Sus scrofa: one gene and its partners. The protein of the gene in region 1 interacts with the protein of each later gene in a pairwise test. Links are inferred from orthologs where the notes say so. Each region holds a gene or a part of one and is shown in the gene's direction. Other genes may lie near its edges.

The links.
Region 2: the proteins of STAC3 (region 1) and FAM133A interact in binary tests that used the Homo sapiens proteins (3 or more experiments, as listed by UniProt). The two-hybrid records come from large-scale screens. The link is inferred for Sus scrofa from reciprocal best matches to the Homo sapiens genes STAC3 and FAM133A.
Region 3: the proteins of STAC3 (region 1) and EAF1 interact in binary tests that used the Homo sapiens proteins (3 or more experiments, as listed by UniProt). The two-hybrid records come from large-scale screens. The link is inferred for Sus scrofa from reciprocal best matches to the Homo sapiens genes STAC3 and EAF1.

Annotation. Positions count from the first base shown.
Region 1 is NC_010447.5:22,553,266-22,557,690, reverse strand, and holds the start of STAC3 (SH3 and cysteine-rich domain-containing protein 3), read left to right. Parts: upstream 1-1,360; 5' UTR 1,361-1,692; intron 1,693-2,581; 5' UTR 2,582-2,680; coding exon 2,681-2,746; intron 2,747-3,024; coding exon 3,025-3,292; intron 3,293-3,534; coding exon 3,535-3,632; intron 3,633-3,846; coding exon 3,847-3,919; intron 3,920-4,425. UniProt on the Homo sapiens protein: Required for normal excitation-contraction coupling in skeletal muscle and for normal muscle contraction in response to membrane depolarization. Required for normal Ca(2+) release from the sarcplasmic reticulum, which ultimately leads to muscle contraction.
Region 2 is NC_010461.5:76,176,365-76,180,689, forward strand, and holds part of FAM133A (protein FAM133A), read left to right. Parts: intron 1-2,614; 5' UTR 2,615-2,717; coding exon 2,718-3,464; 3' UTR 3,465-4,325.
Region 3 is NC_010455.5:2,652,939-2,657,363, forward strand, and holds the start of EAF1 (ELL-associated factor 1), read left to right. Parts: upstream 1-1,890; coding exon 1,891-2,260; intron 2,261-4,081; coding exon 4,082-4,176; intron 4,177-4,425. Other genes in the region: METTL6 (methyltransferase-like protein 6), read right to left, coding at 677-901. UniProt on the Homo sapiens protein: Acts as a transcriptional transactivator of ELL and ELL2 elongation activities.

The DNA of each region.
Region 1 (4,425 bases):
GGTTAACGATCCAGCGTTGCTGTGAGCTGTGGTGTAGGTTACAGACGCGGCTCGGATCCCGCGTTGATGTGGCTCTGGTGTAGGCCAGTGGCTACAGCTGCGATTCAACCCCTAGCCTGGGAACCTCCATATGCCGCGAGAGCGGCCCAAGAAATAGCAAAAAGACAAAAAAAAAAAAAAAAAAAAAAAAAAAAGAATGCCAGATATCAGAGTTCCTGTTGTGGCTCAGCAGTAATGAACCCAGCTAATGTCCCTGAGGATGCAGGTTCCATCCCTGGACCCACTCATTGAGTCAAAGGATCCGGTGTTGCTGTAAGCTGTGGTGTAGGTCACAGACAAGGCTCGGATCCCACGTTGCTGTGACTGTGGTGTGGTATAGGCTGGCAGCTGCAGCTCCAATTTGACTCTAGCCTGGGAATTTCCATATGCCGAAGGTGCAGCCCTAAAAAGACCCCCCTCCAAAAAAAAGAATGCCAACTATCTCATTGACCCATCAGTTCATATGCCAGGACATCATCAGAAAGAGAAGGAATCAGGGAGTCAGAATGATGAAGGAAATGTGAGGCTTGGCCATCCTGTCTCCAAGAGTTTGCAGCTCCCATGAGGAAGGAGACTTACTTACAGATGATAAAAACTCCCAATGTGACAACTCTTGCCTTCTGTGCAATGTTAATGAAACCATCTCTGTGATCATTGGACCCTCACTCCCTCAGAGACCCTCAGGTGGAAGTCCCAGCCTGACTTTTTAAAATAGCTCTTAGAATTCCTTTCACCCTGAGGACAAGACTTTAGAGAAATAGGGAAAAGATCTCTGGGGGCAGCTGGAGGGAACAAAGCAATACTGCGTGTCGTCACTGCCTTACCAGATAGCAGCCACTGCTCATGGGCAGGAAGGCCATCTAGGAGATCCCTAGTGGCTCAGTGGTTTAAAGACCCGGCATTATCACTTCTATGGCTCTGGTTGCTGCTGTGACATGGGTTCAATTCCTGGTCCGGGAATTAATTTATGCATGCCGTGAGCACGGCCAAAAAAAAAAAAAAAAAAAAAAGGCAATCTAGTTTGGCTGAGCTCTGGAAATCCAAATTATCCTTTCTTGACCAGTTTCCAAGCTTTCTTACTGTTGGAGCCTAGATCGATGCTTGAGGGTATAAAAACAAGACAGGGACCACAAGAAGACAATGGCTAAGAAGTCAAAGGCTAGTTCCTAAAACAGGTTCAAGGAGGGGAGAATCGGGGAGGTATTGAGACCTTGGGGGAAAGGGGATGGATAAGGCTGTTTGTAAGTCATCTAAAATCAGCCACGCAAGTGTCCAGCATGGACACTGTCCCCTCCTGAGTTTAGCCAATGCTGAACTGCACACCGTGGATGAAAAACCAAGCAACAGCAGTGTGGGGGGATGGGAGGAGTTAGGGTCCAGCCCTGCCCAGACCTCCTCGTGTCCAATTTCTCTGTGTCAGCTGTGTCGCTCAGCTGTCCACTTTCCTCCAGCCCTGTCATTTCAGCTCTGACACCAAGGCGAGAGGCTAGGAGGTCTACAAATACCGTCTGGGTAGCTGGTGTGAGTACAGAGGGTACTGGGGGGGCTTAGCCCCCAAGGAAGAGGACCAGTCCTCCCCCAGCACCACCATCAAGACCCCAGGGGCTCCCTCTTTTCTCCACAGACTGTGGACTGACTTAGGGAATCCCAAACGTAAGTTGCCTCTTCATCCTCTTTGCGTTTCCAGGACTTCTCACCCCAGCTTCCCCAATCCGTAGTCTATTCAGCTTCTTCATTTCTCTCATTGTCTGTGAGTAGTTTGGGTTTTAGGAGTGAAATTATTAAGCTACTCCAGGACAAGAGTTAGGATTGAAGGGTAGGGTGGGGGTGGGGTCAGGGGAGTAGAGTAGTAAGGGAAGGAAAGTCTCATATTACTCTGAAAACTTAAAATAGCTGAAGCCTGAGGCAGGCTGGGAACTAGGGAACTAGGCACCGGGCCCCTGAGCTCAAGAAAGGTAGGAGAGAACAAATGTCCCCAGCCCATCCCTCTATGCGCACTTGTGGACATGCACATTAAACCTCTTGAAAGGGGATCTGGGAAGGTGTGTGTCACATTTCTAAAGCCCACAGATTCCCTTGGAGTTGCCATCATGGCTCAGTGGTTAACGAATCCGACTAGGAACCATGAGGTTGCGGGTTTGATCCCTGGCCTTGCTCAGTGGGGTAAGGAGCCGGCATTGCTGCGGCTGTGGTGTAGGCCGGCAGCTGCAGCTCTAATTAGACCGCTAGCCTGGGAACCTCCCTATGCCACGAGTGCAGCCCTAGAAAAAGACAAAAATAAATAAATAAAAACCAAAGCCCACAGATTCCCAAGAGAAACAAAGTGCTTGTAGGAAAATGCCTAAACCACACAGCCTTGTGCACTGTCTCAGGGCAGTAAACTCTGGGGTTGCCCATCAGGATAGAAGGATGGTCATTGGTTTAAGGAGTTGGTAGGGAAGTTCTTTTGTCTGTTGGGCTTTTCTCTGGGCCTTTCTGGAATCTTTCTGCTCCTTGCCCCTGTCTGTGAAAGAATCTCTGTTTAACCAAATTTCTCCCAAAGCCTCCCCTTCAAGGACCACCCTACTGCAAGGGACAGGAACAAGGGGGGAAGAATGTCATTCAGAGATTAGATTTCATAGTGAGGTCAACCTCTTGCAGGATGACAGAAAAGGAGGTGCTGGAGTCCCATAAGCCCTCCTTCCCAGGAGAGACTCGGCAAAGTGGGGTGAGTCTGGGCCTTGACCATGGGGTATGGGGAGCTGGGAAGCCACTGCAGTCTTGAAGAAAATTGCTTGAATTGATCTCACTTGTATACGATTCATGTATTGTTCAAATGCTAGCTAGCACCTACAGGCCCCAGGACCCCCTAATCCTGGGGTGTGCCCCTTGCCCCAAGCTTGAAGAATGTCTAGTTAGCTTCAGCCTGACCTACTCTAAAAAGCAAGACAGTTCCTTTAACACTGGGTTTCCTTCCTTCCCTCCTTCCTTCCTTCCCTCCCTCAGCTACAGCGGCTGAAGCAGTTATTTAGGAAGGAGTCTACAGGGACAAAGGAGATGGAGCTTCCCCCAGAGCCCCAGGCCAATGGGGAGGCAGTGGGAGCTGGGGGTGGGCCCATCTACTACATCTATGAGGAAGAGGAAGAAGAGGAGGAAGAGGAAGAAGAACCACTCCCAGAACCTCCCAAGCTTGTCAATGATAAGCCCCACAAATTCAAAGATCACTTCTTCAAGAAGCCCAAGTTCTGTGACGTCTGCGCCCGGATGATTGTGCGTGAGTCACAGAGGGAAGTGGAGAGTGTGATGCCAAAGGCAGGGGGCAGGGGAAAGGATTTAGGAGAGGAGTATTTGTACATCAGATAGGCTGTGGCAAGATTTAGCTTTAAGAAACTACTGCAGAGATGGAGAGTGTCAGGTCCTATACTGAAAAGGGACCTGAGAACTAGAGTAGCAGCAGTGTTAGGAAGGGAAAGGGCAATCAGGAACCTCACGCAAATGTTCTCCCCATCTCCCAAGTCAACAACAAATTTGGGCTTCGCTGTAAGAACTGCAAAACTAACATCCACGAACACTGTCAGTCCTACGTGGAGATGCAGAGATGCTTCGGCAAGATCGTGAGTAGGCTCTGGGGAGCAAGAAAGTAGAAGGGAGGGGACATGTTGCCCGCTACCTCCTTGCCGGTCCCTCCTCAAGGCATCCCATCCATTTCCCTGCTTTTTCTTCCTCAGCCTATCTTTTACTCCAAGAAAGGGTGGACGTTCATGGGAGAGGTGGGGTTTGGGGCTCTACCTTGTTATCTCTAATGCTTTCTCCCATCCCATCCTACAGCCCCCTGGTTTCCGTCGGGCCTATAGCTCCCCACTCTACAGCAACCAGCAGTACGCTTGTGTCAAAGATCTCTGTAAGTGCCCCATACAGGACCTGAGGGAATGGGCAAGCCTAGAGGTGGTTTCCAGATGTGGAAACAAAATTCTGAAACAGAAAGATTCTATATCCTGTGGTTCTCGCTCAACCTAGTATCTTGGCCATCTTGGATGCAGAGTCAGTATTCCTCTGTTTTATAGCTGAGGGAAATAAGGTTTAGCTGGGGCTCTACTCAGGAAGAGACAGAACCAAAACTGAAACTTTCACCCGCCTAACCTCAAACTCTGCTCTTCATGTACAAAATCATTTCTAAGCACGAACTAGACTGTCCTCATCCCTGTTACAGAATAATGCCAGAGTCAGGGCCAGACCAAGAGCTGTGGGCATCCTGGGTAGGTTCATAATTTGGCAACCCTAAAAAACATACCCGTGGACTTCCATGTTGGTGCAGCAGGTTGAGGGTCCAGGGCTATCACTGCAGCAGCCCCAGTGGCTCCTGTGGCATGGGTTCGATCCCTGGTCCATAAATTTCCACATGCTGTA
Region 2 (4,325 bases), on another chromosome or scaffold:
TTCCCCATTAGCTTCACTCTAAGTCCCTTAGAATAAATTCCAACCTCAATAGCACATCCAAATCCTTTGTGAACTGGTCTTTGCTTGTCTTTCTAGATGATGTCAGGACTAGGTCTCAAGGAGCTGAAATTAGAATGGATTATGCTATTCTTTTTTTTTTTTTTTTTTTTTTTTTTTTGTCTTTTTGCTTTTTCTTTGGGCCACTCCCGCGGCATATGGAGGTTCCCAGGCTAGGGGTCCAATCGGAGCTGTAGCCACCGGCCTATGCCAGAGCCACAGCAACGCAGGATCCGAGCCACGTCTGCAACCTACACCACAGCTCACGGCAACGCCGGATCGTTAACCCACTGAGCAAGGGCAGGGACCGAACCCGCAACCTCATGGTTCCTAGTCGGATTCGTTAACCACTGCGCCACGACGGGAACTCCGGATTATGCTATTCTAAATGTACAGTTGCAGAAACTACCAGCAAGTTTAATGTGAACTATGTCCTTAAGGGCTTTTGATGTTCAAGTCTTGGAAACAATGATATTTGACAGATCTGTAGAGTAGCATTAAAAATGAAAATGACAAAAAGACCCAAGAGGAGCTGGGCAGAATTGAAGAGGAAGGAAAATAAGATAATACAACAAATCAAACACAGAAAACTATTACCAAGAATCAGTGTAAAATCTGTGGCATTGAGCTTATGATGAGTAAGTATGTTAGGTTGACTTAAAGGGTCAGAGTCAAGACGGAGACTGACAGAAAAATCTGTGATATGTCCTATCATCTTTCTCTTCAAACTTTGATAGCTTCCTAACAACTCTAAGACAAAATCCAAAATGTTAAAATAACCTAAGAAGGCCTGATGGTCAAGCTACTTACTTCATATGCAGCCTCACCTCCTACCAGTTCCCTCTTAACACTTTAGGCTCCGTCAACACTAAATACATAGTGCTCCTTCAGATCTCTCAGGTTTTTTACATACTGTTTCCTCTGCCTAGAATGTCCTTCATTTCCCCATTTCCTGAGTGAACTCCTATTTATCCTTCAAAACCCTATACTGACGTCACAAACTCCAAGAGGTTTCTCTGGATGTCCCTCTCTCACAGAGTTATCAATACAGTCATTTATTTGTTTATTATTTTGCACATATTTATTGAGTACTTAGTGTGGGACATATGCCATGTTAGGCCCTGAGAAAACCATGGTGTTGTAAGACAAATCAAATATGACCTTTACCCTCTTGGCCTTATATTTAGTGATGGATACATACACACAGACATGTACACACACAAATACACACATATCCACATAGATGTATAAAATAATTATTGATTTTCTAAGTGCTGTGAATAAAAGAAACAAGGAACTGTGGTACAAAATAATGAGTATGAGAGAGAGCTACAGAGGTAACATACTTTGATATAAGGTTGAACCATATGAAATTGTTGGTATTTGACTCTTTTTGTCCTATATAATTGGTGATTTTATATAGTTTGACCTAATAGTTACCTTTCAGAAAAACTGGCATTTAAAATGAGACCTGAAAATGAGGTGAAACTGGCCTGGAGCTTACACGTTCCCGAATCAAAGAGAAGATCAGAAAAGATAGAGTTGAGAAAAGGGGTAAATAACTCTAGATGAAAGTAAGAGGATCCACCAAAAAGGACCTTTATAGGAGTTTGTATTTGATTCTCATTAAAATGTAAAGCTACTGGAACATTTTAAGATCCTTCTGATTTCAATGTGGGACTGGAATGGAAGACAGAATGGGTAAAATAGGGCTATCAATTAAGAAGTTGATGTAAGGAGGCAATAGAGCGTTGTGTTAGGTGTGTAGGTTTTGACATTAGGCTGCCTTGATTTGAAGCCTGGTTTTGCCATATGCCATTTATTATGTTACACAAGTTATTCAAAACCTCTAAGCCTCTGTTTCTTCATCTGTGTAATAGGGGTAATAATAGGACCAACCTCAAAGAATAAGTCTTGAGACTGAATCACATAATCTACTGCACAACACTAAGGACTCCCTGGCATATAATAAACCCTTAATAGATACTAGAGATTAATAGGCCAAATGAGAGATGACAGTACCTGGACTATGTTGATGACAACATATATGGATAGAAGTGAACAGACATGAGATCTATTATTGTGGTGAGTTTAAACAGCAGGATTTAGTAATGAATTGGATGTGAGAGTTGAGGGTGAAGGATTGTTCAGGTATGACTCCTAGGTTACTATCAAAGAGTGGAATGCTTTATGATGTACTTTCTTAAGATGGAAAAGGTCTGCTTGCTACAGAATTTAGCTATAGAAATTTTTCTCTCTTTATACCATATTAGGCAGAATGAAAGAAAGAAAAAAAAGGTAAATATCATACAATGCAAAAGGAAGTAGTTATTTAAATATTTAGATAATAGAACCTCACATGAGGTATAAAAAACACTTTATATTATATTCATACCACAATGTCTAAAATAGGCAAAAATTGTGTATTATCTTTTCTCTAAGATTTTGGAAATCTTTCTACTATACTGTGTGATAGACAGTGAACAATTAAACTTATGTGCTTACTTTGTCTTATATTAAAGATGTTTTTTAATCATTCCATCTGCTTCTCTCACAGAATGGAGCCTACTTGTTATACCAGCAGATGAAGAATTTAAGGAGGGTGTCTATCTTTATTCTCTTTAACAACTGAGAGTCTGCTCTGGGAACCATCAGGCACCATGGGGAAGCGGGATAATCGTGTAGCTTATATGAATCCTATAGCAATGGCCAGATGGCGGGGCCCCTCGCAATCTGCAGGCCCAACAATACAAGATTATCTGAATCGACCGAGGCCGACCTGGGAAGAAGTGAAGAAACAATTAGAAAATAAAAAGAAAGGCTCCAAGGCATTAGCTGAATTTGAAGAAAAAATGAATGAGAATTGGAAGAAAGAACTAGAAAAAAGCAGAGAGAAGTTATTAAGTGGAAACGAGAGCTCATCCAAGAAAAGGGAAAGAAAGAAAAAGAAAAAGAAGAAATCTTGTCAGTCTTCGTCGTCTTCTTCATCAAGCTCTGATTCTTCAAGCAGTTCTTCAGATTCTGAGGATGAGGAGAAGAAACAAGGAAAAAAGAGAAAGAAAAAAAAGAACCGTGCATACAAATCATCAGAAAGCTCTACATGTGAATCTGAATCAGAGAGCAAGGAATCTGTAAAAAAGAAGAAGTCAAAGGATGAAACAGAGAAAGAAAAGTATATTAAAAGTCTCAGCAAAAAAAGAAAGAAGACTTATCCTGAAGATAAACCTTTATCATCAGAGCTCTCATCAGAATCAGATTATGAAGAGGAGATGCAAGCAAAGAAGAAAAGGAAACGTGACGATCGAGAAAAAGCAACAGAAAAAGCAAAGAAGAAGAAGAAGAAACAGCACAAAAAACATAGTAAGAAGAAGAAAAAGAAGTCAGGTTCAAGTCACAAGTCAGGATAATATCAAGAAAAAAAATAAAGCAAGATGTCCCTATTGAAAAAAGCAAGGTCTAAAGGAAACTTCAACTGTGAATGTTAGGGCATATTTACCAAAATGCATGAATTTCCCTGTGTTAGAGTTATTCCCGGACTTTTGAGTTGCCAGTCAAATGCTACTGTGCCAGAAAGGGCCATAATTGTTGCCTGCAGCTTAAATATAGGATTTTGTTTCATTTGTGTGTTTTTCCTTCCACTGGCTAATTCCTCAGAGAACTAAAACCCTGTTGTCATACTAGTGGTTAAAATGTTTGGAATTAAAGTAAAATGTTTTAGGTGATAAATAATTTTGACCCAAAAATGTCCCTAATAGTCAAGAGATCTAATTTGGATACATCTTAAAAATATAATCAGAACTATCCAGATGACAATAGTTGACATTTTTGAAGCAACTATTGATGCTCAAAAATGACTATTTGATGTCTCCAAATACTTACTTTTGAAGATTAAAAATTTAGTTTATTTTTCTTTTCTCCTTAATAAACTTTTGTTCTCATGGGGAAAGGGCTTGCGGGGGAAAAAAGAGTTTGCTATCACTTTGGCTAGCTGAATAGTGTGCCTTTGGTCCTTACACATCCTATTTTTGCCTGTGCGGCAGCCATTCTTTTCTTATTTGGTGATGTTGTATGCTACTTTAATGAACAAGAAAGACAGCAATTTACAGTATATATAAGACCCCAATTTTATGAAATTTACCTCCACTACCACAGTACTGAATAATATTTAGTGTTACAGTGTTACATGATTTGAATTAACGTTGATACCCTTTGCAGGGGAATCGTTTTCAATAGACCCTGGTATTTTTTGATTAATAAAGATTCTGAAA
Region 3 (4,425 bases), on another chromosome or scaffold:
TGCCTCAAAATCATCAGCAAGAGGGGATAATACTAATAAAAACTTCACAGTGTTATCACCAGCTTTCAATTACAGAACACAGGTAAAGTTCTAGAAAAGGGCTGTGGCAAAATGTTCATCATCATTATTATTTTGAAGCTATCATTGAAACCATTTGGTATGAATTTAATATTTACCACTTTGGGATTAACTTTAAAGAAACAGAAAATGCCCACTAAAGCCCAGGAACTGCTAAAACTCCTTGAGATAAAAAGTGTATTTCTTTTTCTTTTTTGTCTTTTTGCCATTTCTTGGGCTGCTCCTGAGGCATATGGAGGTTCCCAGGCTAGGGGTCGAATCGGAGCTGTAGCCACCGGCCTACGCCAGAGCCACAGCAATGTGGGATCCGAGCCGCGTCTGCGACCTACACCACAGCTCACGGCAACGCCGGATCGTTAACCCACTGAGCAAGGGCAGGTATCGAACCCGCAACCTCATGGTTTCTCATGGATTCGTTAACCACTGCGCCACGACGGGAACTCCAACAGTGTATTTCTAAGGTACAAAAACTTATGAAGCGTTTTGACAGGCTTCATATATTCTCTACCTCACACTGCCCGTGAGAATGCAATAAAACACCCCTCTTCCACACATTCTTAATGAAAGACAGTTCAAATAAGGCGTAATATTAGTTTACCTCTCTACAAGATCTGAGCTCCTCAAACTCTCTGGTGGTCCAGTGTCTATCTTTGAAGAAATTAGTGCTATTTCTTTTGTAAAAAAGGTCCCAGTTTTTCTGAGCCTCTTTTTCCAGTTTTTGCTGTTTAAAATCAGACACTAAAGCCTGGTCTCTTTTCAGTTTTTCCTCTTCTTCAGAGCTGAGAACCCTTGCCTGCAGCCCTTTCCTTTGCAAAGAAGCCATCTCCTAAGTTGATGGTAATATATTTAACACTGCTGGATATTCTCCCTTCGCGAATAACCCGAGAAATTCAAGCAGATACTACACAGGCAGAGTTTTCTCAGATGCGGCCCCTCTCTTTGGGTTCAGGCCTCAGGCAACGTCGGGTGTTTTGCAGGAAAAAAGAATGAGATTCTGGTTGGGGGTTCTGGAACAGTTTTAAAGATGCTGAGTTAGTGGTTCTAACACAGTTTTTTCACCAAACAGTTCAATTCACCAAATGTTTACTAGTGGCCGACCCTACACAAAACCCTGCCCCGCTATAAGAAAAGAGGTCATAAAGAAGACCCAGACACTGCCCTTGCCTACAGAGGGCTGACATTCAGCTGCCAGGGCGCTCTCACGCATAGAACTCTAATTCAAACCTGAATAAGTCAACTATTATAATAAATCGCTTTAGTTTAGAACAGAGTCACTCCCAAGAACTAAGAAACCTTTGGGGGAAGATACTCGTCAATGTTCGGTGCCCGTGAAAGGGGCGACTTAACAGCTGCCGGTACTGGAGAAGGGTGGTCAATTCACAGACAGAAGCAGTGTCACCGTTTCCAAGGAACACGGAGCTAAGCCTGGGAGGCCTCAGTCGCAGAGTTTCACGAAGCAGAGGGGCGTCGCTTTCCAGGAACTGAGGCCCTCGCGCAGTCGTCCGCGCAAAGGGAAGGAAGAGACCCAGGGACGCGTGGTGTGGGGTTCCAGGACACCGGGGATAACCTGGCCGCCCGGCCACGAGCACCTGTGAGCGCTTGTGAGGAGCCCTGTTCACCGAGACCGCCGCGCGCCAGCGCCCAGTCTTCAGTTCCTAGGTTCCCCTGGAGGGTGGCGCCGGGCGCGCTAAGCCCTCACCCAGGCCCAACCGCGTGAGTAGAATTTGGGAGCCACCGCGGTAAAACCCAGCGGCTGGACAAACCAGTCTGCAGCACCTCGCATTGGGCTTCTCCCAGCGGAGTCTTTTTGCCATGGCACCGCCCCCGCCACTTCCGCTTCGAGACCGGAAGTCCCTCCCCGGCGCCGGAAGTTCCGCGGCCCCGCTTCCTCACAGTTGTCCCCCGCCCCGACGCGCACGCCAGGACTTATTTCCAGCCGCAGGTGGGCACCGGCTCGGTTCTCCGCTCGCCCCGGGGTGCTGTCCCGGGAGCGCTGCTCCCTCGAACTCAGGCGCCGGCAGCTCCGGCCGCGGGCGCGCCAGGAGGGCGCCGGGGCGGGCGCGCGGCCCGTGCGGGGCCATGAACGGGACGGCCAACCCTCTGCTGGACCGCGAGGAGCACCGCCTGCGGCTTGGGGAGAGCTTCGAGAATCGGCCGCGGGCCTCCTTCCACACCATCCGCTGTGAGTCCGCATCCCGCAGCCGCCACAGGCCGACCTCGATCCCGTAGCCCGGGGAGCCTGCCAGCATCAGTTCCCTTCCTATCTCCCCGGATCCGCAGGGACATTTTGCTTTTTCCCGGTTCACTCTTCCCAAACAAGACTTTTCGTCCCTCCCTCCTGTTCCTCTGCCTCGTGGTCCCAAACACGTCTTCCAAAGACCATTGGCCCCCTTTCCTGCCAGGTCCAGCCCTCCCGCGTGCCGAACCTACCCCTCTTGCTGCCTAAAGGTTGCCGAGTCCACATCAGGGTTCAGCTCGTTTCCCTAGGCCCCCCACTCCACCACGACCCACTAGGGGATCTCCACGATTCAAAGATTTTTCCCGTTTGCTTGGGAGCTGCCTCCACTCTCTCCTATTCCATTTTCTTCTGTTGTCCTCACTTTTCTCGTATGTTTTGGTTCTGGCCGCCCTAACGCCGCGCTTCATCCCCACTGCAAACATCAGAAACCGCATTCCCCTCTGCGCCGCATCAGTCTTCCTCCTCCATCTCTTCGTGCCAGCTTTTCGTCTGCCTTTGAGGTTACCTGGACTACCCCGACTTTTCCTCGGGACCATGTCCCTTGTGGGTGAGGAATAAAATTGGAATTTGTGAGCCAAGAATAAGTTACAGCTTGGTCTATGTTTGGAAGCAGAAGCAGCAGACATAAGGAATGTGAAAATAGTCATTATGCTGGGTCTCCTTTTTCTCCTTGATTACAGACTCTGTTGAGGGAGGGCCCTTCTACTCTGTGTCCTGAGTAAAGACTTGGCTGACTGAGCATCTCTCTGATTCACAAACTCCTGGCTTCCCATCCTGGTAGCCCTAATGCTGGTTAAGACTTGTTTTTCTGAGAGGAACTCTCAGAGGTGACTCAACACCTTGGAAGAGGGTGTGTTAGATAATGATGTTCTGTCTTCATGTGGTCACTTGCACCGTCATTCCTCTTCTTCCTACTGACAGCAGATCAGCCCTTTCTGAGGGAGGATATTGAGGATGTGAGGGAGCGTCATTTCCTGAGGAGGTTATTTGTTGGTAGCGTGAAGGAAAGTGAGGAGCTTAAGAAAGATACTTCAAAGAGGCACCTGGCCTGCAGGTTGAGGCAAATGTGTGTTAAAAGTAAGAGTGCTGTTCAGGTTGTGCTTTAACTGCAATCCAGAGACACAGGCAGGATTAACCTTTGGAAATACAGTTCAGCGGTCATCCCCAAACATCTATAGGCGTGTCCTTATTAAAGCTATGGAACTTGAGTGTGGCAGATCCTAATGTTGACAGTTCCTATGCAAAATGAAATCAGCGCATATGATGCTGTAGCTTTTCATTTTTCACATTGGGTTTTACAATCACAGGATTTAAAAACTGTGCTCTGTTGCTTTTGATCCTTGTAATTACCCTAGTAAAACATTCATTATGAATAAGGCATTAATTTTCATCTGTCACTTGAGAGAGGGGAATATCTTTGCTTAATAAAATAGTATATACATTCTAGCTTTTTTTTTTCTTCAAAATAATCCAGTGGAGATGGGAGGAAAAGTATGTGGAGGTATAGCTGCAACAAGATTATCTTGGAGCTGGTAATTATTGAAGCTGGGTGGTGGTACACAGGAGCTCGTTGTATTGTTCTCTCTGCTTTTGTGTATGAGAAGTTTTCCACAATGAAATACTTTTTTAGAAACTCCTAACTGGTTTGTATTTTCCATTTATCTGAGTCATAAAAAATTTCAATTCTTAAGTGAAAATGCCCCAGAAGCCTTTGCTTAGTATTAGTAACCTGGTAGATAAATGTTTTTTTCCCTTTCCCTTTAGATGACTTTAAGCCGGCATCTATAGACACTTCCTGTGAAGGAGAGCTCCAGGTCGGCAAAGGAGATGAAGTCACAATTACGCTGCCGCATATCCCTGTGGGTTTTATTCCATCGTTGTTGTTTCTAATGTGGAATCACAGTGGATCTTCATATTCTACATTATTGCAATTTGATTTTCCTCCTGTTTAAGAATGTGTAGATTCCTAAAATGCCAGTTTGGGGGATGGAGTGGGATAGAATTCACATTTCCCATGTACTTGAGTAAAAATAATTCTTTGCCATTTTCCCCAAGCTCCCTTTTTCTCCATTTATTCCAGATGTCCTATGCGGACAACTAACCCCTCC